Linked DNA regions of Oryzias latipes. The main gene of each other region encodes a partner of the protein of the gene in region 3 in a complex. Links are inferred from orthologs where the notes say so. Each region holds a gene or a part of one and is shown on either strand. Other genes may lie near its edges. The genes, in order: ruvbl1, wdr92, uri1, pfdn6, pdrg1, pfdn2 and uxt.

Region 1 (4,216 bases), on a different chromosome or scaffold from region 3:
TCGGACGTCGGTTTCCCAAAAATGTTGAATAAAAGACCAGGTTGTCACACGGACAACCATCGTGTTCATTTGGGGTTGTCCTCCGGGAAATCTGGTTGTCTCTGACAACAGGATAACTGCTTATTTCAAACGCTGCAAAGTTGTGAAAAAACGTTTTTTCTCTGCTTTAACAAACCCTATGTCTTCATGGATATAATTCCAAAACTATCTGGCTTGGTTGCCATGGTTCCTGTTGGATAAATGGATCGATTACACTCACCAATTGCCCTCCTGAAATTCTCCATCAATACTTCTGTTTTCTTTATCTCAGACGAGTAGACCTCACTGCCCACCATGGGGCAAAACGGAACCTTGTTCCCCAGCTCCTGAGCGATGGCCAAAGCCAGGGCCGTCTAAAGGCAGAAGACACACGGCGTCACAGTAAGAGTCTGCATGAAGGACGAGCGTTAGAGTCCGCCGGCATCTTCACTGATGCTTTACCTTTCCTGTTCCAGGGGGTCCTGCCAGTAAAATGGCCCTTCCTGCCATCTTTTTGGCCTGGATCAGCTCAACAATAATGCCACAAGCCTAAAGGGTAGAGAAACCAAAGAGAAATACAACATTTAAAGTAGGGCTGCACGATATGAGGAAAACTTGCGATATGCGATATTAGTGATCAATATTGCGATAACGATAAATTTGCGGTAAATAAACAAATAGAAAAATAAACAAAAACATCATTCCCATTTCATTGCAACAGTTTAAAAATTATACTCCAAATGACCCTCATCGACATGGGGGACAAACGTCAGGGTGGCTAACCCTGGTCCTCAAGAGCCTCAACCCTGTCTGTTTTCCAGTTCTCCCTAGACTGCTCGATAATGATAACCAAAATCAGGTGTGTTCAGTCAATCAGGATGTGAAATCACTTGAGTCAGCCAATCAACAGCAAGCTGGTTAAGGAGAGCTGGAAAACAGGCAGGGTTGAGGCTCTTCAGGACCAGGGTTAACATAATAGGCCTCCATCTGATTGGTCAACAATGGGAAGGCGTCCATCTGATTGGTCAAAGCATAAAGGGATTTATTTGATTCGTTAAATGCTTCAAGCTGCTAGAAGATTGTTTTAACACATTTTGGGCTTGCGATTTATTGCGATATTCGCCGTCTTTTGCGATATGCATATTGCAGAGCTGGATATTGCGATAACGATAAATTTGCGGTATATTGTGCAGGCCTAGTTTAAAGTATAACAATGAGGAAAAAGGAAAACTGTCTTTATAACTACGATGTTGAGTAAGACTAATAAACAGAAACGTGAAAGTTGCAGGTCGATTTGTTCTTTTGTGTGCCACAGGATGTATTATCAGATACATTGATATTGTTTTGGTGATATACATTTTTGCAGGACTCAAACTGAGATTTATAAATGTCATTTCAACGTCGTATCAAATCAAATCAAACTTTATTAGTGTAGCACTTTTCCCTCTAGAGCCCCTCAAAGTGCTTTACACAAAAACATGTTCAAATTTTAAAAATTTAAAGCAAGACGTTACATTAATATTCGGTAGAAATCCCATATAATGTCGTCGTCGCCCCCCCCTCCCCACCGCCCACTCAAGTTCACAGAATATGCTACCACAGGACCCCCCCCCCCCTAAAAAAGGCTTAAGAATACCATGATACTGGCCCTTTAAAACCAGCACAGACAATCTTGTTTGGGTAGGTAAAAACACAAACGGAAATTATTATTATTATCGTTTATTTTTTTAACTTTGCCAGTGCAGTGTTGATTTTAATTTTCCTTATAATAGGATGATTCTTAGGTAAGAATTCAAAACAGTGTTTAAGTGCAATCGGTCAGTTGAAACCTCCGACGCATGTAAAAACATATTTTAACATCCACCCAATACTGCTTTTAGAATGGAATGAAATTAAAAACTGAAGTAATACATCATGAAATTAAGTTGAAAATCCTGTTATGAACTTCTTCATCAAATAAAAATAAAATAAAACGTGTTTTAGAGGCGATTATCCTGCCTTGTTCCACTTTAGAGTCTAGAAAATACACTGCGATCTATATAATGTATTAGAGTTTTCTTTGCATTTTTAATTATTTAGCAGCCATAATGTAACAATAGCAAACAAAAAACACAAAAAAAATAATATGATGACTGTTTATTATGGTTCCAACAATTTTCCATTATAAAGAAATAACTGTCAGTGCTGTTAGTTCCATCCAATAAATAAAATTAAATAATCTACAGATCACATTTGACTTTATGACGGTTTTGATGTAGATTCTTTGTCGACTTACAAATGTGTAATAAGAAATATACCTTAGTTTGAGTTTCACATTTCGTTTTTCTTTCCCAATAAAATAAAAATTGTACCTGTATGATGGAAATATAATCAAGAGATTTCAATTCATTTTTTTAAATTTAATTTAAGAAATATATTAAATGAAATAAAAAAAATAAATCGCTACTTTGGAAACTGTGTGTTAATTTAACTAAGGAGGAGTCTCGCAGGTTATCTGAGAAGAAAACTACGCAGCTGTGCTAACTCAGTTAGCATCAGGGGTTAGCAATTTGCTACCGTGTTCTCATAGGAACTTATGTGCAAGTAATGTCTGAAGGAAAATAAAATACAATTGAAACAGAAAAAAGATGATTAACATCACCTCTCTGGCAGCCTCCTGTCCGACCAGTCCGCATGCTGTCTGTTTAGCATTGCCGGCCTCGTCTAGCCCGAGTCCCTTGACGTGACTGTGTGAAGCTATTCGCTGGGTCTTTGTGGTGCTTTTTACCTCCTCGATTTTCATATTTGCAAGTGTTACAGGAGCACTGGCTATAATACTGTCCAAGCCGCAAAGTAAAGTTTAAAAAATGTCACCTAAGTGTCTGCGTTTCTCTGACCACTACATGAGGCGCCAAAAGTCAAAACACGGTTTCCATGTGGGTTACCAGGGGAAAAAAGCAGGAATCGACACCCCTGAGGTACCGCCCATTTTAACTAGTCTGAAAACCATTGGTTTTCCTCATGATAAGAGCATTTCTGATTAGTCAATGTTCTGTCAATCAAAGTTGAAACCACACCCCTGTTTCCTCCTGTGCTTCGTTTTATTTTGTTGTAATAGAAACACACAAAAAAGGCCTCAGTATAAAAAACACTAATTGATCGATAATTTAAAATATTTATTTTATACATAGAAATATATTTCTGTGTTATATTTTTTTATTAAATTGTAATATTTAAATATCACATTTTTCTTATTTTGGTTTGTTCCCCGCATATAAACGTTCCGGTTCGTCTTGTAATCGGGGACGAAATAAAGTGTAAGCACCATAAACTCTGCAGTTTTTTAGGGACACTTTAGGCACCGAAAATGACTTGTTGATTTGACCAACTAACGCAGTGAACGTTATTTTTTTTCCAAATAACTATCAACGCGGTGCTCAGGTTTCAAGGTAGGAAAACGTTCGTGCTCGGAAACTTCGAGAGGATGTCCGAGTCTCATGACAGCCGCACGAAAACGTTAAATTTCAACGTGGGGGTCCTCGGACATGTCGACAGCGGGAAGACGTCGCTGGCCAGAGCGCTGAGCAGCACCGCCTCCACGGCTGCTTTCGACAAGAACCCACAGTCCCGGGAGAGAGGCATCACGTTAGACCTCGGCTTCTCCTCCTTCACGGTGGATTGTCCGGATCACCTGCGGGACGGCGGGGGCCTGAAGCCGTACGACAGTCTGCAGTTTACCCTGGTGGACTGTCCAGGCCACGCCTCTCTGATCCGAACAATTATCGGAGGTAACGTAAACCTGTGGAAGATCATGGATGGACTGAGCATCATGAAGGGTCAGGGGCTCAAGGTCCAACATTCCCAAGCCCTCCGAGGCATTCAGACAGTATGCAATGGTGGCAAAGGCTGTTCTGTTATATGATTGATTGATTGATTGATTGATTGATTGATTGATTGATTGATTGATTGATCACATCAGAACACACTGACATCCAGTGTCTGGTAGGGAACAGTTACATGGCCAATCTTATAGAGACTATAATATAGTCATTTACTTTTGACCAAAAACAGAGAACTTTTTCAAGCGGAATAAAATAAGAATAAAAATACAAAAATATGATGCAAAGAAACTAAAACAAGGGATTTATTTGGATGACTATTGTGGCAGTTTTCCAGGTTTTCATGGTTTTTATTGAGTTAAAATATATCATGAATTCAT
Region 2 (4,162 bases), on a different chromosome or scaffold from region 3:
AATGTAGCCTCATGTTTAGTGCCAAAATATGTGATGAAAAGGCCGACAAACAGCTAAAAGTTTAAGTATTTGAAGACATTACAAACTTCTTTTACATCAGTATTTACAAAGAATGTGCTGAAAAGGCGATACATAAAAAAAACACAAATAAATAAATAAATAAAATGCTGAAAATACTACAGATGCTAAATCCTAACGTCAGTAAAGAGGCTAGTTTTAGCTAAAGAATGTTGAAAATGCAAACGGTGTGTTGAAATTATTTTAATTAATAAAATTATCTAATAAATTTTAAAGTGTTAGCTTAATTAGGAGCCTCAGTCGTATATATATATATATATATATATATATATATATATATATATATATATATATATATATATATATATATATATATATTATCATCATATATATAATCATCATGTATATGGACATACGTTACTCTGAAAGGCTTAAGAAAAGAATGATTCAGGCCCTTGAGGCACTTAAATAATAAAACAAAAGCCAAAACAAACTGAAAAGTTACATTTCACTACATATGTGAAAGCAATGAAATAATGAAATAAAAATAAGAGATAGAAATGAGAAATAGTGTTGGTTATGCTCAAATTGTTCTGAACATTGAACGTTTGAATTTGTGAATTTAATGTTCACCTTCATTAGAAAAAAAACATTTGATCAGTTGATCTTCCAGCTGAGCAAAAAACAAATGTTTGCAGCTCCTTTGTGAGCAGACTGGCTCCTGCTTCAAGACATTTGCAGCAAAACAGTTCTGTTTGCTTTGACTGCTGTTGTTTTTAGAGGGATGCTGTCTCTTTCTGGAAATGCTAAAATGGTGCACCTGACTGAGTCCCCAAAGGTTTGTTACCTTTTCAGAAACAGAGGCAAAGCCTTTGGTGTGGTGCTGCGTCCTCATGTCAAACACGTGGAACCGGCCCTCCAGAGACGTGGCCACCAGCTTGTTCATGTTGATATCTTTCCTGTCAAACTCCACGCAGCAAACCTGAACGTAACGCAGGAAAAAGGAATCCCAGTGAGAACCCACACAGAATCACAGCATCATTTATGATCACGCACATAAACGAGTAATGTCCTCAGCCCACCCCGTTCTTGATGTTGGTTTCCCATCGCAGAGACATGTTCCTCAGGTCAAACAGCTTGACGTCTCCGTTGTCGTAGCCGGCACAAACGCATCGGTCCTCTTGGTTGAAGGCGTGACCTGAAATCGTTTTAAGAAAGCCGGTTATGAGGCCAAACGAATAAAAAACAGGCTTTCACAAATTTATGAAGGATTTCAAAAAGTTCTGTACTGTTGTACACAATTATAGAATGTTATAGAACTTTATTTTACTAAAATAAACAGCAGGATGAAGATAAATCATATTTAAGCCAGAACTGTGGCATAATTCACAGTGTCAAAGGCTTTATGGTGTCAAACAATCACAACCCAATGACGATTTTGATTCGTAAGGAACAAATGTGTCTATATTTTCTGCTATGCTGTGTCTGATTACATTTTTGGTGCCTGTGGACAAATTTGGTTCCACCCTTCTCTGCAGAATTGCTTTATTCAATCACATTTTTGAGGATTTTCAGGAAAAATGTTCGTTTATTTAAATTAACCGGAACAAATTTGAACGTTTTGACACTTCAGAACCCTTACGGTGATCCATATGACTTTAGTGATACCTCAGCATGCTGTAGCATCAAACTGAACTTCACCTTTACCATCTTTTGTGGTGTCAAACAGGGACTTTCCTGTCCTCTGAATAGGTAGCATTATATCCTTATGGTTTAGAAGTGAAAACTTTTATTTTGAAAATTCTGCTCACCGAATGCAACAGTCCAGCAGTCCCTCCTGGTTTCCCCTTCAAGTGGTTCCATGTTGGCCACAGGCCAGTCTCTCTGTCTGGGATCCCACACCTTTACTGTTCCTGTGAAAACCCAACAGAACCTCAGATCCACTCTTGCTGTTCTAACTGTGTCTTGCCTCTATGGCCTTCACCATCTCTGCTGCCGGTCACTATCTCAGGAGCGCCTTCTCCGATTCCCAGACCTCCGACTCCGTCTATACTGTTGACTATTTCCTTATGGGCCTTCACAGAGTACACAGGCACATCAGCAGCCTCTAGATTCCTGTCCATGACAAATCTGTTCAGAAATCACCTCAGAAAAACACAACACATGGATTTTTGCAGGAGAAAATGCAGACAAAATACCAGATATTTAGATTTCCATCAAAATCCCCGGTTGCTATGTGTCTGGTCTGCAGGGAAGATGCCCCAAACGTGCCACACTTTATAGGTTTGGGTTTCTCGAGCTGAAAAACATCACAGGTTCTTATATTCTTAGCACTCAATCTGTGTTTGCTGGGTTAGGGTTGCCATGGCTACAAGCGAGAAAACCTTCTCTGGACAGCTCAGAGCAGCTCGTTGAGGTTAAAGGTGAAAGATTTCAACATGAAGACATCAGTGCACCTCTTTAACAAGCTGTACTTCTCCGTGCTGCAGCTCGTGGATCTGGATCACCCCGGTTCCTCTCGGAAAGTTGCCCAAACAAACAAACTTGGCGCTGCAGGGGATCCACTTACAGTCGAACACAGTGAAGTTTAGACCCGTGTGAGCATGCGCGATGATCTGAGGCTTTGACAGCGAAGACGACATATTCACCGAAGCAGAAAACTACGATTTAAGCGAATAAACCAAAGCAAACATCGAACATCAAATAGAACTTTGCGCTACAGAAAATCTACCAAAATATCAACGTTAGGTCCTGACTTTATAGGTGCCCACAAATATGCCTGATTTTCTCCCGATATTTAAAAATAAATACATTAAATTATTCTTAAAGCACATACATAAATATTTTTTTTACAGTTATTTGGATTTAAAAAGCGGGATGGTGATTAAATTACATTTAAATTGTACTTTTTGATACACCTGGTAATAACATTTTGTTTCGAGCGTCGACGACGCCACCCTTGGGGTCCTTTTCAGTGCACGAGGGCAATCTCGTGCGTCCCCCCGTTCAGTCCACACCACCCTTTTAAGGACTTTATTAAACTTTTAAAGACTGTATTTTGCCATGGACGCCAGTGAAAGCGGAGCTACGGCGCCGGAGAAGCACGATGACGGGGAATCGTTTACGAAAGTGAAGTCAAAGAAGAGCCAGAAGAGAAAACTGGAGCCAGACGGAGGCACGACCATGGAGGTCGAACAGCCAAATAAACGCCCGCATTTTCCACCCATCTCAGCTGACAAACTACGGGTATTTACAATGTGTTTTCATTTCTGCCTCTGCGATTTCACGGGTAAACCACAAACGCGAAACCGACTTAAAAACGCTTGTTTTGCCAAAGCGCTGTTCCTTTAAATATTGAGATGCTTTGCGCATGTGCACAAGTAGTGAAGCAAGGATGGGCGATACCAAATAACGTATTTGTTGTTTTTCAAGTTTTTCTTTACCGATATTAATATATTCTTGCACCAAATTACAAAAATATTCGTATGTTTTGCTCTTTTCTATATAGAAAATATTCTGTACAAGATTTACTTTACACGAATTTAAAGTTAGAAGACATAAGTACATAAATAAATGTTAATACTTTTGGATGTATGTCACGTTTGTGAGCAATACTTTTCCCATGAGTCAAGTAGTTTATATTTAGTGTAATTTAAGAATGTCTCTGTCCGTTTTTAATAAATTATAACGGGAACTGTCAAGTGTATCTGACATTTGATGCGGCCCAATAAAACATTCCTGCAGTGTCTCCTTATGGACAGCGGGTGGCGCACGTGGGGCCTCTTTGATTTCTTCACACTGTTTAGCACTTTTAAAAGTGCCAAGATGTAATGTCTTTTACCACTTCAACTTTTTTTTTTTACCTAAGGGCCTATGATGACTGAACTTGGTATTGACGTCTGATTGGTTCCTGGGATCACGTGACCCTAAGCAAAATACTCCTGGATAGCTCTGCACAGACGGATCTCTACTATCTATAATACCACAGAGCTTCTCTCCAAAATCACTTTTTGTTTATTATTAGAACCATTTTAAATGACATGCTATTTAAATTTAAAAATTAACAGTATGCTGTTTAAATCAAACTACTGGATAAAACAATGTCCTTGGATGGCAATAAAGAAACCATTGAATCTCCTCTCCT
Region 3 (4,045 bases):
GATCATTAAATCTTCACAACAATTAAGCCCTTTCACTAATAGCAGCAGAGGGCCCTTGTTTCCATGGCGATGGCGAGCCCCTCCAGTCAGTGCATCAACTGGAAGTGAGGAAAGGTCAAACGCAGAAGGCCAGACAGCTCAGCCGCTGTCTGACACATTTCAGCTCGCTGTGTTTGCATTACAGCACTTAGCTGTGTAATAGCAGGGATGGCGGGGGTCAGGAGAGGGGGGGGCGGGGGGGGGGCATTTCTGCTTCACTAAACAGTCTAATAATGTTCAAATCAGAGAGGGTTTTTTTATGTGGAGGTAAAGGCTGTAGCGTCCGGACAACACGCCAAACGACCATAGCGGTCTATAACCTGGCCACAAAAGTGTGGTGGTGGGGGGGGGGGGGGGGGGGGGCTAAGCCTGCAGCCGTCACTGACGTAAAGAACGAGTCCAAACGCTTTTACACAAAGACGTACTTCATCCTGAGCCCAGAAACGTCTGTAAAGTAAAGCTCAGGCTGTCGGAATGTGACGCACTGCCGCCCCCCGCTGGAGACGCCGCCGCTCTGCAGCCACAGGCCGCCGCTCTGCAGCCACAGGCCGCCGCTCTGCAGCCACACGCCGCCGTTCAGAAACTCACGCTTCATCCTGTGATCCACCACCGCTTGGGCTTGTTTGGCCGAACACTTGGCGAACCAGTTGTCGCCCAGCAACACGGTGACCTCGTTGGTGCGCACCAGCTTGCCGGGCGTGAAGGCCAGCGGGCCGAAGGGCACCTGCTCACAGCACAAGGAGGCCCGGACGGGCCACAGAACAGAACCGGGTTAGTCAGAGCAGCTGACAGGAAGTGGGCGCGAACATGGAGCAAACGGGAGACACAGAACTTCCAGTAAAGTTTTGGTTTTTGGGTCACTCTGTAAACTTGTCAAGTGAAACGGCGAGCGCTCACCATGATGTCATAGGAGAGCCGGTCTGGGAGGGTTTTGAGTCGATCGCTGAGCGCGTCGTAATCACCCGACACCTTCATCCTGCAGGTCGGGTCACAGAAATATTCAGAATTTAACCCAATTGATGCGATTTGGGTATAAAATGATGAGTAAAGTTAAAGGATGTTATTGCTCAGATGGCCACAAGGGGGCAATGACAATCATCTATAAGGAAAACTACTTTAAACCAAAACATCTTAACTTTTATTAACTTGCATTAGAGATTAAAAAAAACTTTTACGCCTTCATGAAGACTGTAAACAAAACCAAAATAAATGACTGCTGAAAATCTTTAAGGAAAAAAGGACATTTAAATGCATTTAAACTACATTTTTACAAGAGTATAACTCACAAAATAACCTGAAAGTTTATAGTTTATATAGTAAAAAAAACAGAGCAGAAAAAATAAACGTTTCCCTAAACAAATAAACGCCAATTATTACCTAATTTCTTAAGATTATTCGCCTGGTGCGAGTAAACGATGTCAACCTCATCAGATAGTGGAGTTTAAATTGGCTGATCTGGTTTGTTTTTTGCATCTTTCTGAATTATTTTGTTCTCATACATCCTAGAAAATGAAAGAGAAAGCAAAGAAAAAGGGGAGAATTCTGCAAAAATATGGAAGTTGCTAACGGACCACAAAAGGAAATGTTGCATCAGGGCCGACTGTGGGCGAGGGACGGTTTAGGAGCTAAACTAGTCTTCTGTGGGGGCGTGTCTCCATGGTAAAGCAGGGTGGCGGAAGTATCATGCTGTGGCGATAGACTGCTAAATCCTAGAAAAACTTTTGTCTTTGCCATATGAGGAAAATAATATGGGAAGCTTTAACCGTCAAGTTCTAAAATTGAAAATGCGATCATCTAAATCCATGACTGCAGCTTAAAAAAAAGGGAGGGGGGTTATTCTCCTGCAAACTTTGAGCGTCTTTGTTGCATTCATATCCAAGTCGTACACATTCACACTCAAAGCAGAGAGGAAACCGTAGAAGAGGAGAAACTTTCAGGACTGTGCAGCTTACCAATGCTGAATCCGTGAGTCACAGTCTTTCACCACCTGATGCAGGAAAAAAATGCTTTCATGAACAACATGACACGTTCAACACAACATACATGTTTTCATGCTATCAAACTGAGTTTTGTGTTCCTTATTAGCCAAACAGAGAGAAAGAGAGAGAGAGAGAAAAAACAGAAGTTAGCAGCAAAGGCAGCCTGTAAACATGGAGTCTGAAACCAAACAACCTGCAGGAGTAAAAGCTCAGGTAAAGGTTTGGGGGAGGGGCTTGTGGGTTGATCTAATTCACCTGAAGCAGGGCAAAGAAAAGAAACGAATCTTCTTTCTCCGTATTTGCGGCTCATGTCTGCAGAGGAGGATGTTTTCAGAAGGAAACAAGCCTCGTGGCCCGCAGCTGCAGATCTGCTCACGCGCTCCTCTTACCTTCTCGTGCTCCTCTCGGAGCCTGTGAACCCCGCCGAGGGGCTTCATGTTCGCTTTACCTCCTCCTCCAGCCATCCTTACTCCGCACGTGCACAGGTGCCTTGGGGCTCTGAGGAGCACCAAAGCTCAGGGTTTGTTGTGAGTCCTAAAGAAGTGTTTATGAACGCAGCAGCAGCAGCTCCTCCGGAGGCCCGTCCCGCGCGCCTTCATCAACGGGGCATCGACGGTAATCCTCACGTCCGAAGGTGATATCATCTCACACGCTCATTTCACGGCTTCTGCATGATCTCCAAAAAAATCCGCCGAGTTTGGATCCAGAGGTTAGCAGAGAACTCCTCGCTTCTTTCGCTGTGCAGATCGACCCACAGGGGAAGAAACGGGAGCTGTTCCGGTTTTTAGTTTCAAAATAAAACCCGTGAACGGAAGAGACTTGGAGTGGGCAACGTTTTTTTATGCAAGTTTCTCCCAAAACACCAAACCATAAATTACATGCCAATTTAATCTTCGTTATCACGTATCTTACATGTGTTTTTCTTAAAATGTTAACACGTTATCTAAATGTTCGCTCTTACTTTGAAAACCAAGCGTGTCATTTCTGTTTGACGTCTAGAAAAGTCTACCAGAGTGCACTCTGGGTAAATGTTTAGTATTGTAAATATTTTACGAAACATAAAAAATAAACCGAATCTTAACTTAGAGCTGTACAAGCATTAAAACGTATAAAAACTAACAAACAGAAACACACGTTAAAGAAAAAAAATATTACTTCTAGCTTTAATTAAACTGTCAGTTCAGAAAAAAAAACTTTAGTCTGCATGCGTTGCAATTGGATGCACTATAAATAGTTGAAAGAAGATGCAATAAAGGATGTTCTGTTGGATTTGAACAGCGAATTATTGCTTTTAGTTAAAATATCCATTTTCTTGATGTCGGCATTTAATATAACGTCATTACAGCAAAAATCACAGTTTTATGTTCACTTTTGATCAAACTTTACAGCTGCAGCCCGGAATACTGACTTACAGGCCTTCTTCAACTTTTTCTAATTTTAGTTAAACACGAAATGTGACAACTTTCTGCATCTGTGGTGTTCAAATAGCACAACACACCTGTTTCTCAAATTATCATTTATGATGACTGGATTGCAGTTATACATTCACAGTGTTCACAGATCCAATTACCTTAAAAATTAACTATCATTTGCTTACTTTAGAACCATGTGGAAAAACCTTTTACTAATGTTACGATTAGTTTAATTTACCAGAAAAAGAGGACGAAAAACAGTTTAAACATTTAAAATGAGCCGTAACTCCATTGTTGTTTTTCTTATAATTCAAGTTTTTATTTATTCTTTTTTTGACAACCGAACAAAAATAATGATAATGGATCAATAAAACAAAGCAATAATAATAATCATAATCATCATTATAATCATAATAATAATACAAACAACAACATGACGCCTTTTATATATTGTGAATGGAAAGTTTTACTTCTGGCATCTCTACTAGCCCAACTATGCTATGCCATCTTTCTTCGTGAATGTTTTATTTTATTTTTTATAAAACACTGATTCTTTAGGTTCAGCTACTCGATTCAGATTGTCCAACTCCACGATTGTTGTATTTCCTGTCCCTC
Region 4 (4,039 bases), on a different chromosome or scaffold from region 3:
CTGAAGTAACCAAAGCACGTGACCAGTATTATAAAGAGAAGTCTAAGAAAAAATACAATTTTAAAGACAGAAAAAACGCTCAATAATAATCTCCAACAGGATGAATGAGCTGCTGTAAAAACAAAAGACTTGTTTTTACAACACAGTACAGAATATCAAAGCTAATTCTTGTTTTAACTGAAGAAAGAATTACCTATAGAAAATAACAGGCAAAATACTTGTACAACATAGATATGTAAATAAATAAACAAGAACCTAAAATAGTGTGACACAATCCTCCTTTTGATTAATGCTAAAGTCATTTTTGACAGATTTAAGATACAAACTGCTTTACGATTTCAGTGTCCGACGTTAAAAGATGAAATACAAATGACACTAGGGCTGCACGATATGAGGAAAACTCGCGATATGCGATATTGGTGATTAATATTGCGATAACGATATAATTTGCGGTATATAAACAAATGTCAAACCAACCAAAAACATAATTTCCATTTCAATGCAACAGTATAAAAATCATACTCCAAATGACCCTTGTCGACGTAGGAGGCAAACATCAAACATAAAAGGGCTCATTTGATTGATCAACAGCGTAAACGGGTCCTTCCGATTGGTTAAATGCATAAAGGGATTTATTTCATTTGTTCAATATTTCAAGCTGCCATGAGTTTGTTTTAGCACACTTAACCCTTGTGCTATCTTAGATGACCCCCCCCTTACATTGACGTGTTCTCCCTACCATGACAAAGGTGGACAAAGGTGGAAAGATTTCATGTAATCCATGGACACCAGTGAAGATCACAAATTATTGAAGAAAAATTGTTCAGTGCACTGTCTAGTGGGTCTAGATGACCCAACTCCCAATGTTAAAGTGCCTAGGATAGCACAAGGGTTAAGGTAACCATTTATTGCGATTTTCGCCGTCTTTTGCGGTATGCATATTGCACAGCTTGATGTCGCGATAACGATAAATTTGCGGTATATTGTGCAGGCCTAAATGACATAATGAGACGATAAAAGCTAATAAATAGGTTAATGTCAGAATATTTATTCACAATTACTATTCATTTGTTTAAAATAAATGATAGTTTGTATTAATTGAACAAACAATTTAACAACTACAAACATAATGATATGAAATATAATATTATGGGGAAAAAACCTGTCCAAAAGTATCTCAGATGCATGGACAGCAAATATAAAACTATTTTAACTTTAAGAACATGTAAATATTATATGACATAATTAATTTAAGGCCCCAAACGGACAGCTGTGGGATCCCATTTATTTCTTTTTTGAAGGTACAACCAGCCAAGGTCAACTTTTATTTCTGCACAACCCTTTTTTCATCAGCCACTTTTCATCTTCCATTAATTTAAAAGAAACTATGAGTACAGTCTTTATTATATATTAATGTAAAAAAAAACACAAGCATATCTGTGACATGCATCTGTTTTCCCCAGCATAAAGTGTGTCACAGTAATGAAAAAAAGAAATATTTCTATTGAATGAAGCAACATAATACCTGATATAATCACTTAGCAACACTGTTAATTTAATTTTAAAGCAAAAGCTGTATTCATTTTTTTAATATATTATTTTATTTCCCCCAAAATTTGACTAATTACTCATCTGGGGCACATTGGACCCCATTTATAATGTAAAGATATAAGATAGTTTTCTGTCTGCTAAAATGTCTATATGTTTAAATACTACAATTATGGGTTTCAGGTCAAAAATTAAGCCTTCACCTTTCAACTGTCAGTCTTAGGATATAAGATTGTATCAGTAGAAATTGAATATTAAAAGGTTCAAGGTATGGCGTAAATTTAAGGCAAATTATGTGATTCTATATTCTATAAAGACAGCTTAAATCAGGTGTTCTCGTCGTGCATTTTGTTTCTCTATTTATTCAAGGTAGAACTCAGAATTTGTGGTCAAAATTTTACCATGGCGACGAAATATGTTCAAGTCTATCCTGAATTTTCAGAACTACCCATAAAAACTAGATTTCCAGCTTCTGTGGCTGATATTTCATTACAAATAAATGACTATAAACGTCTCTGCTTATAGTAAGTGCTATATATTATAAACTAAAGCTTGAAAATATCATTTTAACTAGGGCATCCCATACATTTTCTTTTGTATTTCTTTTCCTTACATTTCTCCATTGATGTACTCCAGTCTTTTTGTGACCGTGGCCTTGGCTTCATCCAAGTCTTGCTTCACTAAAACTGGACCGATAAGCTTGTAAATGGTGTTAGAACTGTCCAGCAGATCGAGCTCCTGGAAATATACAGGTCACATCTTCAGTCAAACTGAACATAAAGATATCTAATGGACAAAAACATGTTGTTAAGGGTTAGGCGTGTACCTCTTTGACTATGTTGTTTTCTGTCAGCTGCGTCTCCAGTTTCTGCCTGACGGACATACTTTTACTCACATCTGAAAAAAAAACAGACATTTGTAAGTTGTATTTCTTTTAATACGTCAAATCTCAAAGTTACTTTAAATATTTGAAACATGGGTGCAGGCATGGCTAACTAACTGCTGCCCGATGGTAACAACATCATGGCACACTAGCAGCTAACAGGTACCTACCTTTCTGCACCTGCGAATATTTTTCTAATTCCGCTTTTAATTTCTTTTGAATTGCATCTGCCATGTTTTATGACTTGTTTGTAATAACCGTGTAAACGTTAAATAAATGTATCTAGAGGTTTCAGAGCTAACAACACAGAATGGGAGAACTGCGCTAGCTAACCGGAAGGAGCGACGGATTTAGCGGAAGTTGTGAAAGATTCACTGCCATCCAGAAAATCGGAGTTTCCGCAGTCGTACAAGAGAAGAGTTTTATCAAATATTTTCTATTTCTGTCCAATGTATATCATATTAGATGAAGAAATTGCATGAAATTTGAAAAATATCTTATTTGATTAGGATTTTTTTGACTTAGTAGTTATACACACAAGTTATTACATTATTCTCATAGTCGAACAATAGAAGATAATAGATATTTTAAACTTTGAATTGCACACATAACATTTAAAAATAAAATTAATTGCTGCCACATCTCATTCAAAAAGGTATGGATAAATCTTGGTCCACCAGCTCTGATCAGTCTAAGGGGATCTCCAACATGGAAAGAGTTGATGTCCTCTCTGTATTAAATCATAATAAATCATGTAAGGGGCTAATACCTGGCATCAAGCCACTGACCTTCAAAAATCACAAGAGAAATGAAAATTGGTTTTAAAAAAAAAGTGAGACGGCAGTTGCCCAATAAAGTGGTGGACACTCAGGGACTGTGACCCTAAAACTGGGAGAAAGATTTAAGATCAACTTTATTAATCCACTTTCAAGATCAACTTTATTAATCCACGAAGGGAAATTTGAGAAAAGCGATTCTTCAACAATAGTTTTGCCTTGGTTTGCTTTACATCAATAAACAATAGAACCTTGGAAGGTTTAGTAAGTCAGATAAGTAAGTTGAGGAATAAATGTTTGTATGGACCCTTTGTGTGCGTGTGTGTGTGTTTGTTTGAACAACTTGTTCACCTCTCGGCAGATCCCGTCATTTGTCACCACAGTGGTATTTTGATTGGAAATAAATTGTAGTATTTGTAGTATCATTGTTTTAATGAAAAATCTAAAATGCAAAAGTGGTAAGTAGTAGTAGTAGTAGTTGCTGTAATGGTAGTACATTTGTATGGGTTTTTTTTTTTATTAAAAATCTAAAATACATAGCAGTTGCAGAACTAGCATCATTATTATTTGAACAAAAACCTAAAATAAACAGTAAGCCTGTGGTAGTAGTAGTAGTAGTAGTAGTAGTAGTAGTAGTAGTAGTAGTAGTAGTAGTGGTCATGGAAGTAGTATCGTTTTGATGATTCAAAATCTAAAATACTTAGTAGTCGTATCATCATGTTTTGAACGAATTTCTAAAATACACAACGAACGCTGTTACTGATGGGAAGATTTTGGTTTTAATTATGCAATGAAAAAAAATTAGACAACCACACATCACAGAAAATCAACA
Region 5 (4,211 bases), on a different chromosome or scaffold from region 3:
TTTACACAAAAACTTCAGAGTCAGAGGAACATGGACATCCAAACATCTCCTTTAAAGAGAGTTTGGAAAGTGGACTTTGACCAGTCAGTACAGCCATCTTTAACTACTACAATTCTAGAAGATGTTTAATATAGATTCTGCTGCTGTCTACTAAAGGAAACAACTTTAAAACTGTAAATATAATAGATATGAACTTTATTAAAACAGTCCAGGAACCGGGTGCAAAAAAGGACATGTTTGTCATCTTTTGAACCTGCAGAAGTGTCCTGCACGAATCCCCGACAGTCCAACCGTCCAGCCAAGGTGCCTTTAATAAGCATGTTTAAATGATGTTTAAATGTGGCGCTGGAACTCAGGCCTGCAGCTTTGGCGCTTCATTCTCTCAGAAGTGACTCGAAACAGCCGGAGAATCAGGTCTTCAGGAGGCTGTTGATAGATTTGATCTCCTCAGAGGACAGTGCAGACAGTCTGTAGCCTCTGAGCTCCGGTTTACCTACAGAAATGAAGGGAATAGTTTTAGCTATTCAATAATAAAAGTTTAATTGATGAAACTTACTTTGACTTCTGAATGTTTGAATGAAGCGTCAGGGCATCTTTTCCACTAGTTGCTGTTGTTATGAGACAGTTTTACCCCTCCTGGTGCAAACATTTTACGGTACTTTATTTTAATTTGTTTGTATTTTACTAAAGAAAATGATAGCTCTAGAGACGCACTAATGATTAAAAAAAATGTTTGTAGTGACCTGGACACAGAGTAAAGGCTCCTGAACTGAGTGTCTAGAAGAGTGCATGTGCAGATCAGATCAGTCTGTAGGTGTGAGCAGGTGGAAAACATCTGTAGACTAACATTTCGCCTGCTTTTGAGTGTGCTGCCCCCTTGTGGCATTGGAACCTTACAGCAGCTCAGTCAGAGAAAATGCAAAGAAATCTGTAAACAAAGATATATTATGAGGTCTGCTGTTGTCTTGGTGTTTCCACTCTTAGCTTGCAGTATTTATTTGTGTCACCTTAGGACTCCGCAGTTACGCAACTGGCTTCAACCGGAACGACCGACAAGTACGTTGTGTAACTGAACTCTACAGAAACAGTGCAAAGCCCCAAATGAACGCTGTTAATTAATTTGTCTTGATATTTCACATTTTCACAAATGTCAGTTTAACATTTTGGAATTAGGAACCTATTTTAGCTTATTAACTTTTCTTGAGTTTTGTGAGTTTTCAACTTGTCAAAAGTAACATCCTCTGTTCCAAATGGCTACCAGTGTTTTACAGCACTTCTTTTCTTCCCAAAACCCCTTTATGTTCATCCAAAAGAGAAATGCAACACCTCTTCTCCTTCCAACAGGAGGGCAGGACCAGAGGGAGGAATCACGTTTCCCCTTCTGCTACACAGCCTGTAAAGCGTTTTATTAAAATTGTCAGCTTTAATTTTTCCTTTTTTGTTTTCTTATTTTGAAAGAGTTGCATACCTTGAATCTCATTGAGATGATTGAATTTAGTTTTCAGTTCTCTGCGAAGGTTATTTATTTCTTTATCCAGCTGTTCTTGGTCTGCAGCACAAAAGAAATACATTTTTATTTTTATGAATAAACACATAAAGCATGGAAGTGTGTTTTCTTTAAGGATTACCTTTCTGGACCATCCCTTTAGTTTTGGATTTGTCAAACTCAATAAACATGTTTCCAAAGCAAACCTTCACATTCTCTGCAAACAAAAACAAGAACATTAAGGCTGGAAAAGGCTGGGTTTGTTATTTAACAGCAGCACTTCTGACATATTTCATAAATGCAGCGATCAGGTTTTCCTTTCTTGCCTCTAAACATGACGGGACCCGGTCCTGCCTCACCTGAATCAGACAGCTCATGTTTGAGAGCGTTCAGCGCCTCCCTGTTCCGGTTTCTCTTCAAGTCCAGGTCCACTATCTGAAGAAAAGAAAAAAAAAAGAAAGACACATGAATTCATATTTACCTAATTTAGTATCCAATTTTTGGTTATTAAATGAAGAAAATGGGTCAAAGTAAGACCCTGGCTGGTGACAGCCAAAAAGAATATAAAGTGAACTAAACTAACAAAGACAGAGTGTCCATTTATGTCACAGATATTATGATCAAAATTTATAGTAGATTTTATGTTAAAAGAGAAATTGTCCGTGTTTGCTGCACTAGCTGCTAAAATATCCACTTGTAGTTTATAGAAAATTTCATTTGCAAATAAATTTCTTATAAAATCTTTAAAATGTCAAATAGAGCCAGATTGAAAGCAGAACTTTTGAATTTCTGTCTTTCTTCAAGAGTGGTATCAAGCTAATCTTTATCTAATTTCTTTTCAACTTTATTACGTTTAAGTAGAGGAAAACACTTCTTTTTTTGTTTACATCTCTGTGAGTGGAATTTCCCCAAACAGATCATCAATACAAAAAATATTTTGTTGGACACGCCATCTAATTCATAGTATAACATGACATAAAATATTATTTTAGGATATTTTTTACTCAATTTTGTGAACAGAAATTTCGATCCATCATGATCATCATCCAGGCAGCCCAACTTGAACTTCAGTATCACTTGTTTTTAAGCTAGTGAAGCGGTTCGGTGACCTCTTTGCTAGCTGAAGCTATCTATGTTAAACATGACTTTTGAAAAAAGAAACGATTTGCGGTTCGTCACAACATACCTGCTGTTTGGTTGTGATAACCTCCTCGGCTGCTTCTTCCACTTCTGTCAGGTAGTCCAGCACACGCTGCGAACCCGCATCCATGTTGGCGGTGTCGCATCTAAATATGTTCTACGAGAAACACAAGAGAAGGCGGAACGCTTCATCTTCTGCATTTTCTTGGCGGTAGGCAAACAGCTTGCTGGTCGTTACCGCCGCCAACTGGAGTGGAGTGTAAACCGGGATCTTTTCTTAACTTTCACGTTCTTACTTACATTCGAGTGGAATCTTCTCAAAAAATGAATTCAATCTTAATTTGCAAAAATTTCATAAATAAAAAAAAGCGCACATCGACCATTGCCTAAATTTACAGATACCTCAAACTTCATGTTCAACATTTCAAGGTTGTTTAAATTTGGATTTTTTTTTTTTAGTTTAAAAAAAATGTATTCATGTTTTAAAAACGTTCGAGTCTTACGTCTCAATCTAGTTATTGCTCTTTTCCTATCCTATGTTGTCCCGCTCTCATCATTTTCCCCTCTATTATTCCTTTGTTCCTTCTCCCAGTGTCTTCGTCATATTTCTTTCTCTCTTTGATTATGTTTTTATCTCTGCTTTGCTAAGACTGATCTTTAACTCAAAATCCTTTATTGGAAACTATTCAAGCACATTTAGTGGCTATTTCATCATCTTGTTTCTCTATATGAGCTGAACCCAGAAAATATCACAATGACCCGCATTGTTTTTAGTAACCCCCAATGTTTGCTGGAAATATCTGGTCTACTTTCTTATTTACAGTTTTTAATATTTGCTAATGATGAACTTAAGTCTGAACCATCTGAACATATAAGATTTCCCATTGGCCTATGACAAGCAGAATATTTCTGATGCCCATACAAACATTTGATTTCACTGCTTTTTTGGAAACTGAGGAGGCGAAATGAATAAACAGCTGTGTTTTATGCTGCGTATAGTATAAATGTTATCCAAATGTACATGAAAAGAGAGTTTACATTTTTTTGTCTCAGTATTTGCCCAAAGTAAAATTAAGTGGCTAAACCTGGACCACTGGTTCATTCATCTGTTTGCTTTATTGGGTGTGTTTGTATTTTTTTAAGTGTTAAACAAAATTTATTCTGATCATGTATTTAAAATTTAGACTTAAGCGGATGGGGGACACTGAAACATTAGACAACACATTAGATTTAAAAATATCTCAATCTCTGTAAATAAAATTCAGATTTTTTTCACATCTTCAGGTCAAAAACCTGAGAAAGATCCGTGCAGAAAGACAAATATAAAACCCAGGGTTGGGAAGCATTACTGCCTTCTGCTTGTAAATGTAGCTGTTATTTATTTTGACAAACCACAAGCTTCATAATCAAGTTATTAGGACATGAAAACAAACATTTTAAAAGATTTGTTGTTTAATTAAAAACATACAGGCTTGTCCATATTCCTTGACATGTAGCAGTTATGTAAACATACTGAAGGATTTTTCCCCTGAAACAGCTTCAAAACAATCATAAAATGCACATTTACAGATAGTTGATATCAAAA
Region 6 (3,324 bases), on a different chromosome or scaffold from region 3:
ATAGGTACCGATGCAGACCCAACTCAACTGAAATCCACCAAATCACAACACCACCGGATCTTCTGCTGCGACAGCGGCGCGTGTGGATGTGTAATGACCGTAATGTGGGGTTAAAGGACGCAGCCTGTTTTTGTGTTGACCGTTCTCTGTAGGTAAAATCGGTCGTACACGCGGTAATGAGATTTATGATGGGATTATACTACATAATAAACAGAATATCACAACAATGTATCTCTTCTGCAAAGTTTATTATACACAGACTCTGTGGAGAGTTGTCATGACGAGGTGGCCGAGTGGTTAAGGCGATGGACTGCTAATCCATTGTGCTCTGCACGCGTGGGTTCGAATCCCATCCTCGTCGGTTGATTTTTCTGGTCATTTTGGAAATATTTTACTTCTGAACTAATAATGAATTACAGAGCCCAATCTGTTTTCAAACTTACTTCCGTTAGCAACATTGCCCACAACAGCAAACAAATGAGAAAAATACACATATCATATTTTGATGTAGTAAATCAATTTATTTTACTGTACAAAAACAATGGAAGATTTCAAACGATATTAGAAAGGGGACATATAAAAAAAATCTCAGCCAGATTTCAGTAGTGATGGTCTGCTAATTCCAACAAACGGTTCTGCTCATGAAAAAGTAACATTTCTGAAGTAATGAGGTCATGTCCTGCATTGATCATTCAAGATGCCTTTAAATTTGTTTGAATTTTATTGTTTCCCCTTTAGAAGGAAATACATTTTATCCACCTCAAAATAACTGATATTTATAACAGCTGAAAAATTATACATGCAAAAAAAATTTGTAATAGAGGTGTAACAATGAATCGACTTAATCAATAAATCGATTTGTATTACTACATTCCAATCAGATCGATCTGAGGTATGTTGTAAATAGAGTTTAATTTACCTATACCATTATATAATCTGTCAAAAATTAAATAAATTGATTATATTCAATCTTGGAAAATACCATTTGGATTCAGGTATGGTAGGTTTATTTTACTATAACCTTAAATCAACCAAGTGCTTTCACTGCAAACAACACACATCTGATGGCAGCAAAAAAAGATCAGTCCATCATTCCAGTCCAATGGGTGGAAACCCTTTGAGTTTAGCAATAACTTGACCATACAGTGTGGTAGAATGTTCTAATAATGTTTTGTTTGTATTATGTTGATGGGAAAACAAGAGTGGGCTGAACTTTATGAAGCTAAAATATGAATGGATTTTTCCATTTATTCTTATATACTTCTTTGTTTGTTCAAATATTTAATGTACACTTGATTTTCTTGCAAGAAAGACAAAGAATTGGGAAAACATTACCTGCACTGTTTAGCACCCAGGTATTTATTCCTGAGTCACTCTGGTTGAATTTTTGGCTAAAGATGTTCTGGATCAATTTTAGGTCAATGTATTGGAATGTTCAAAATGAACCAATGTCGACTATAAATTGCATCATCAACCACAAATTATGATATGAATCGGATCGTTGTTAAAATCATTACACCCCTAGTTTGTAGTCTTCCAAAGCAACACCGTAAAGCAAGTTTTCAGCCGTTGAAATTTAATAAGGAAATTTAAGACGGTATTTTTGCCATCAAAAAGAGAAAAGGCAAATGCATAATAACCTCAGATGACACATGTTAGCATTCACAAATGGACATACAGAGGAAGAACAATTTGACATTCCAGCCAATCCTTCTTCAAACTAAGTTTTTCAGTGATGTAAAAATCAAATGACCCTATTGACATTGTTCATCATTACAGACTATGACACCAGAACTCCAGCTCCACTTTTGGATCCTCCTCTTTCACTGTCTCTAGAGGATGCTCCTGACTGGCCCTGACCCTCTCCTTCTCCCTCTCCCTCTCCTTCTCCAACCAGCCGGATGTTGTAGCGTTCCCTGTACTCTGTCAGTTCTCGGCCTTTTGCCTGCATCTGTATATTGATGGATTCAGTTGCTTTGGAGATCTGTTGGGAGAGAGAAAGATAAATGGGAAATTTGTTTTAATAAATTCTAGATTATAGGTATTTTACTATTAAGACTCAAATCATTTTATGTACATCAAAAATATAATTTCTAAGAAAGTATTTATAAAGCAAATAAAAAATAGAATAAAATCAATGTCTGTAAAGATTTCCAGGGTAATGTTATCACAGGATTCTGTTGTTCAGAGTGACTTGATTGGAACTAGAGGTAAGATCGGGCCTAAAAAATCCAGCCCAACCCGACACAGGCCCGCGGGCATTAAAGGCGAACCCGGTACGAACCCGACCAATTAACTTGATTTGCAGGCCTGAACCCGAAGCAAACCCGAAATTTCAATTTATCCCATAGTATTTTTGACAGAAAAAAAACGCCAGATTTCTTAAAGTTAAAATAATTTACATATTTTTATGATCATGATAAATGCATTTACACAACGAAATAACGCTGGAACACAGAATAAGAGGCCAGACAAAGAGAGTGAAAGAGAGATCTTGATGCGCACTCGCTTCATTACGCGGAGAAATACTGCAGCCGCTGCAGTGCGTGTTTGCCTTTTCAGTTCCCCTGTCTGAAGTTTATCCTTGACTTCTTGCTGCTCCATATCGGGGATACCTAAACAAAATAGATGCGGGCTTGCGGAGGGAAGATTACATTCACGACACGTGCGCAGAGCTGCGGGTGGCTGGCGCCCCCCTCGTTCTGCCAGTTGCTGGACCACAGTGTATGTCAATCAACGGTGGGCTGGTGACTGGTGGGAAGGGGCGGGGTCTGTCTGTGTGTGTGTGTGTGTGTGCATTCGGTGAACGTTCTCCCTCTGAGTAAGAAGCTGGCTGTGCCTGTGCCGACCCAAATTTCGGGCAAATCAAAAAAAAATTACCGGTAGGTTAGAATTGCAGTTTAGTTTCTTTATTCAAGTTTTTATAAATCAGGAGCAGACAAAGAAATTCAATTTGAAAAAGAGCATATTTGTGACGTAGAAAATACACTGGGTGAGCCACAAACACTCTGCTCTGCTCCATTCTTATACATCAACTTGTAGACAAATAGATCCATGTACATCTTTGTTTTCCTCATCTGAGCGGTCACCTGGCTCAAAACTGGGTAGCTGAATGGCTCCAATATTGCTCACCATTTGTGGTGTCATGTTAGGTTGAGGTTGTGAGGGGCTGTAAGCTAGCGGGAGAGAATGTTAACAGATAGCTCTGTTATGGGTGACTGGATGGGGGGGGGGGGGGGGGGGGGGGGGTGTTTGCTCTGCCCTATTGGTCCTCCCCACAATTTAGAGGTGAATTTCTAACAAACTCCAGCCGCGCTACAAAAA
Region 7 (4,029 bases), on a different chromosome or scaffold from region 3:
TGATGCAACGACATGCAGATTGTTGAATTCACTTGCACAGCAATTCAAATGAAAGGCCAGAAAGAAAGTAACAATTCTCTTGCAATTTTCCAAATAAGTCCGGCAAGCGCTGGACTTTTTTCAGTACCGTCCCAGTGTAGGTACCATAACAGTTCGGCCTGCAACAACCGTTCAGGGTCCTTCGACTAGTGCTGACGTCACATTATGTGATGACTGTCTGTTGGTCCAATGACGTGTCAGGTAGTGATTGGTCTGGACAAATGACAATACTACCATAGAAGAAGATATTATACGGTCCGTTGTAAACAAACAGAGCTCCGACACAGAGCGACATTATCTTCTAAACGTGCTTTTAATATTATGATTATTATTAGGTGCATTGCAGATGAATGGACTGCGTTCAGAACCCTTCTCCAGACCGCACACTATGACAAAGCAGCTTCCCTGCCTGTAAACACGAAGCTACGAGACTCCAGCTGCTCTGCTCAGAGACAGGGTTCACTCTGTGGAGCAGCAGGTTCATTCTAGCAGCCACAGATCTTTACAAAGGGGGTTGTGGCAAAATCTCTATAAACACTACAAAGAATAATGTCAGACACAACTTAAGAGGGAAAAGAACTTTATGTTATAAAAGGAAACGTGAAATGAGAATATGTAGAGCCCGAGCAGATCTCCACGCTACGTAGTTTGTCCAAGTGGGGCTACCGTAATGTGACATCATCCTCAGTCGAAAGGACCCCAAACGGTTATTGCAGGCTGAATGGTTATGCTACCTACACCAGCTGCTGTTGAACAAAGGCGGCTAAAGCCTGGACAGTCTGTCCCAGGGCCCATGGAGCTGGAGCGGTTGATCTCACTATGCGGCTCCCAGGAGGCGAGCTGGGGGCCAGACAGAGACCTGCTGCAGGATGGGGAGCCAGCCTGCTCTGACCTCCTGAACTTTAGGTTTTCTTTCAGGTCTCTCTATATATAACATATATATAATCTCATCATCCTCTCCCTCATGGTGCAGAGACCTAAGCATAGTAGGACAAATAACTGGGCAAAACACAATAAAAACAGCTAAACAACTAAACACATTTGGTCAAAAAGCCACACTTAAACCCAAATCCGTCCAGACAGGCAAAGGGAATGCTATCCCACAATCCCTTGCGGTGCCGATCTAACAGCAGCACCAAAGTTACACCTACTCAATTGAATTAATTTGAATGAAAGTAAAATAACTGTCTGACAACTATGTGTTATTTTTAAGTTGACTGAACTGAAAAAAATTATTTATCTTAACTGAAGCAAATAATGAAGTTAGATCAAAGTAAAAAAGTTTATCTTTCCAACATCCATATGTGGTCTTATCACCCTCTCATGGTGTAAAAAGTATTATCTGAGCTTCTTCATCCACTAAATCATCTTCAAATGGACACGCCATGCTGCTTCACCTCTCTGTAAACAAACTAACCTTCAACTAAACCTGCTCCAGACCAGGTTATGTTCAGAGCATGAGTTGCTATGGCAACTTGACATAACCTGAAACATACCTCTATTTCTGGAACTGAAAGCTGAGGTTATCAACTTCCTTAGCCTCAAACGTACCGAGGGAGCTAGCATAACCTGCTTTCTTTTTTTTTTTTTTTAATAAACTTTATTGAAGATATACAAGATACTCATTCAAGTAAATTTTAAGTACACAGATAAAAAAAAAGAGTAACAAAATGTGCCAGGGGAACAAAAGAACAAAGGAGAAGAAAGAAGAAAAAAAAAATTATAAACAAGAGCAGAAAAAGCAGTAAGTTGCTATTCTGTACATTTAAAAAAATTCCAGGGTGTCAAAGGTTCTTATAGCTTTGGGGTTGGAAGAATGTTTTATTGCTTTGATATATTGGTTCAACTCAATCATAAAAAGTTTGAATAAGGGCTTTTTTTCAGAAAATTTGCATTTATGTATGTGGAATTTGGCTAGTATTATCAAAAGGTTAATTAAATAGTATTCCCTTCTTAGTGAATTATTAACACTATAAAAACCAAATAATATATCCTTGTATACCAAATCAAATTTTTCATAAATTTAACATCGAACAAAGGAGGTAAGGTCTTTCCAAAAAATTGCTGTTGGGGGGCATTTCCAGAAAAGATGTATAATTGTTTCAGTGTCTAATTTACAAAAGGAGCAATTTTTATCAATGTCTATGTGTAATGAGGATTTGGCTGGGTAGCATCTGTGAAGAAGTTTAAAACAAACATCCCGGGGTTTATTTGAAATAAAATATTTAGAGGACAAAGTCCAAACTTTCTTCCATTCAATATCTGGGGCAATTTTTCTCCAATAGTGGGTGCATAACCTGCTTTCTGGAATACTCCCCTGGGCCTTTGTGACGTCACAACACCGCATTAGTTCAAACAGAGCGTCTTTGAGACAGTTTGATTGACAGCGGTTTAAAAGGAGAAACACTCAGAAATGCAAAAATGAAACCATGTCTAATTCCATTTGTTGTATTTCATAAGACAAATACCACAATGTCACAAAACATGATTTTCATCAGAGGGGGACTTTCAGAACCGGAGCAGAACCCAGAGGGGCTTACCGCAGGTCTCTCCTCAGAACTTCCTCGATGAATCTTTCATACTGAAGGACCTTCTCTTCCATCCTCGAGTCAGAACCGGCGTCTGTGGGCGGAGTCATCGGGGATGGGGGGCTAATGCGGGGGCTCTGCGGGCCGGTTCAGCTCAGACACTTGTAAAGAAGTTCACAGCCCCACATGCAGTCATCTAAACAAGATTCTGAACCGGAAGTACTCCGACAAGATACTTCCAGGTTTCAGCGTAGAAGAGGAGCAGAAAAAAGAACATTTAATTTCTTTTTATGTTTAAAGCACTTTGTGCAAACAGTTGTTATTTGGTCATTTTCACTTACATTTATTCTTCCATATTCTACCAGATATATAGAACGTGGCAATTATTCATAAACTAATTCCCGGGTTAAACCTTATGTGAATATGAATTTTAAAATATATATGTTTTTGTTTAATGGCTGGTTGTGCTAATTTTATTTATTCTTCTTCGTTGTTTTATTTTCGTTGATTTGGATTGTCCTGTGATGACGTCACTGTCAACAAACATGGCGGAGAGCTGCGTTGACTATAGTTGAAACGTTTTCAAAATATCTCGTCAAGTGCCAAAGGACAGCGCACATTTGGTGTCGCGTACATGTCATCAGCTTTACGCATCAAGTAAATATCCAGCACTATACTAAATATTCAACGATATACTAAAGTTTCGTAGTTTTATTTATCAGATGTGACCGAGGCAACATCAGCGCCCACTTCCGGTCTCGTTCCGTTCAAAATGTCGTGCTTATTTTGGTTGGACGCGCCGGAGCCCCGCTCTTAAAACCCGTGGACTAAAAACCGTTAAGTAAAGGAACAAGTCCAAGTCCATAAAGATCCCCGCTGCAGCTGCAGGGGTCCTGGATGATCATGGAGCAGTACAGCATCCTAGGCCGGATTGGAGAAGGGGCTCACGGAATCGTGTTTAAGGCCAAGCACGTGCAGGTGAAACATGTTCATGGAGCAGAAAAAACAGACACCTGAACAGGTGATCATTCAGGCTGATGGATGAACGTGTTTCTGACAGACCGGGGAAACTGTGGCTCTAAAGAAGGTGGCTCTGAGGAAGCTGGAGGACGGCATTCCCAATCAGGCTCTGAGGGAGATCAAGGCTCTGCAGGAGATTGAGGACAACCAGCACGTGAGTGTGTACAGTCGTGGTCAAAGGTTTGGAGAATGACGTAAATATTGTTGGAAATTGGAAAATAATTGCTGCTTAAATACATATAATAGCATTTTGCATATACTCCATAATGTTATGATGATCAGATGAATTGCATAGTCCTTCTTTGCCATAAAAATGAACTTAATCCCCCAAAACTCTTTCCACGGCATTTCATTGGTGTCATTAAAGAACCAGCTGAGATCATTTCATTCATCGTCTTGTTAACTCAGGTGACAATGTTGACGAGCACCAGGCTGGAGATCA

What was found.
Region 1: uri1 (region 3) and ruvbl1 share a complex: the UniProt entries of both Homo sapiens proteins name them as parts of the PAQosome complex. The link is inferred for Oryzias latipes from reciprocal best matches to the Homo sapiens genes URI1 and RUVBL1.
Region 2: uri1 (region 3) and wdr92 share a complex: the UniProt entries of both Homo sapiens proteins name them as parts of the PAQosome complex. The link is inferred for Oryzias latipes from reciprocal best matches to the Homo sapiens genes URI1 and DNAAF10.
Region 4: uri1 (region 3) and pfdn6 share a complex: the UniProt entries of both Homo sapiens proteins name them as parts of the PAQosome complex. The link is inferred for Oryzias latipes from reciprocal best matches to the Homo sapiens genes URI1 and PFDN6.
Region 5: uri1 (region 3) and pdrg1 share a complex: the UniProt entries of both Homo sapiens proteins name them as parts of the PAQosome complex. The link is inferred for Oryzias latipes from reciprocal best matches to the Homo sapiens genes URI1 and PDRG1.
Region 6: uri1 (region 3) and pfdn2 share a complex: the UniProt entries of both Homo sapiens proteins name them as parts of the PAQosome complex. The link is inferred for Oryzias latipes from reciprocal best matches to the Homo sapiens genes URI1 and PFDN2.
Region 7: uri1 (region 3) and uxt share a complex: the UniProt entries of both Homo sapiens proteins name them as parts of the PAQosome complex. The link is inferred for Oryzias latipes from reciprocal best matches to the Homo sapiens genes URI1 and UXT.

Annotation. Positions count from the first base shown.
Region 1 is NC_019863.2:3,775,258-3,779,473, reverse strand, and holds the start of ruvbl1 (ruvB-like 1), read right to left. Parts: upstream 2,801-4,216; coding exon 2,660-2,800; intron 568-2,659; coding exon 481-567; intron 393-480; coding exon 260-392; intron 1-259. Other genes in the region: eefsec (selenocysteine-specific elongation factor), read left to right, coding at 3,482-3,785. UniProt on the Homo sapiens protein: Possesses single-stranded DNA-stimulated ATPase and ATP-dependent DNA helicase (3' to 5') activity; hexamerization is thought to be critical for ATP hydrolysis and adjacent subunits in the ring-like structure contribute to the ATPase activity.
Region 2 is NC_019873.2:11,204,358-11,208,519, reverse strand, and holds the start of wdr92 (WD repeat-containing protein 92), read right to left. Parts: upstream 2,801-4,162; 5' UTR 2,661-2,800; coding exon 2,475-2,660; intron 2,318-2,474; coding exon 2,217-2,317; intron 2,134-2,216; coding exon 2,003-2,133; intron 1,932-2,002; coding exon 1,830-1,931; intron 1,217-1,829; coding exon 1,101-1,216; intron 1,001-1,100; coding exon 866-1,000; intron 1-865. UniProt on the Homo sapiens protein: Key assembly factor specifically required for the stability of axonemal dynein heavy chains in cytoplasm.
Region 3 is NC_019864.2:30,476,798-30,480,842, reverse strand, and holds the start of uri1 (unconventional prefoldin RPB5 interactor 1), read right to left. Parts: upstream 2,801-4,045; 5' UTR 2,483-2,800; coding exon 2,408-2,482; intron 2,027-2,407; coding exon 1,992-2,026; intron 1,016-1,991; coding exon 937-1,015; intron 764-936; coding exon 628-763; intron 1-627. UniProt on the Homo sapiens protein: Involved in gene transcription regulation. Acts as a transcriptional repressor in concert with the corepressor UXT to regulate androgen receptor (AR) transcription.
Region 4 is NC_019868.2:26,685,013-26,689,051, reverse strand, and holds the start of pfdn6 (prefoldin subunit 6), read right to left. Parts: upstream 2,801-4,039; 5' UTR 2,666-2,800; coding exon 2,602-2,665; intron 2,446-2,601; coding exon 2,375-2,445; intron 2,287-2,374; coding exon 2,162-2,286; intron 1-2,161. UniProt on the Homo sapiens protein: Binds specifically to cytosolic chaperonin (c-CPN) and transfers target proteins to it. Binds to nascent polypeptide chain and promotes folding in an environment in which there are many competing pathways for nonnative proteins.
Region 5 is NC_019863.2:18,202,525-18,206,735, forward strand, and holds the start of pdrg1 (p53 and DNA damage-regulated protein 1), read right to left. Parts: upstream 2,801-4,211; 5' UTR 2,757-2,800; coding exon 2,673-2,756; intron 1,922-2,672; coding exon 1,846-1,921; intron 1,704-1,845; coding exon 1,629-1,703; intron 1,550-1,628; coding exon 1,469-1,549; intron 1,394-1,468; coding exon of another isoform or gene 1,368-1,393; exon of another isoform or gene 1,327-1,367; intron 494-1,326; coding exon 411-493; 3' UTR 1-410. UniProt on the Homo sapiens protein: May play a role in chaperone-mediated protein folding.
Region 6 is NC_019876.2:18,978,092-18,981,415, reverse strand, and holds the end of pfdn2 (prefoldin subunit 2), read right to left. Parts: intron 1,985-3,324; coding exon 1,781-1,984; 3' UTR 501-1,780; downstream 1-500. UniProt on the Homo sapiens protein: Binds specifically to cytosolic chaperonin (c-CPN) and transfers target proteins to it. Binds to nascent polypeptide chain and promotes folding in an environment in which there are many competing pathways for nonnative proteins.
Region 7 is NC_019865.2:33,765,944-33,769,972, forward strand, and holds the start of uxt (protein UXT), read right to left. Parts: upstream 2,801-4,029; 5' UTR 2,678-2,800; coding exon 2,580-2,677; intron 1-2,579. Other genes in the region: cdk20 (cyclin-dependent kinase 20), read left to right, coding at 3,465-3,545, 3,628-3,741. UniProt on the Homo sapiens protein: Involved in gene transcription regulation. Acts in concert with the corepressor URI1 to regulate androgen receptor AR-mediated transcription. Together with URI1, associates with chromatin to the NKX3-1 promoter region.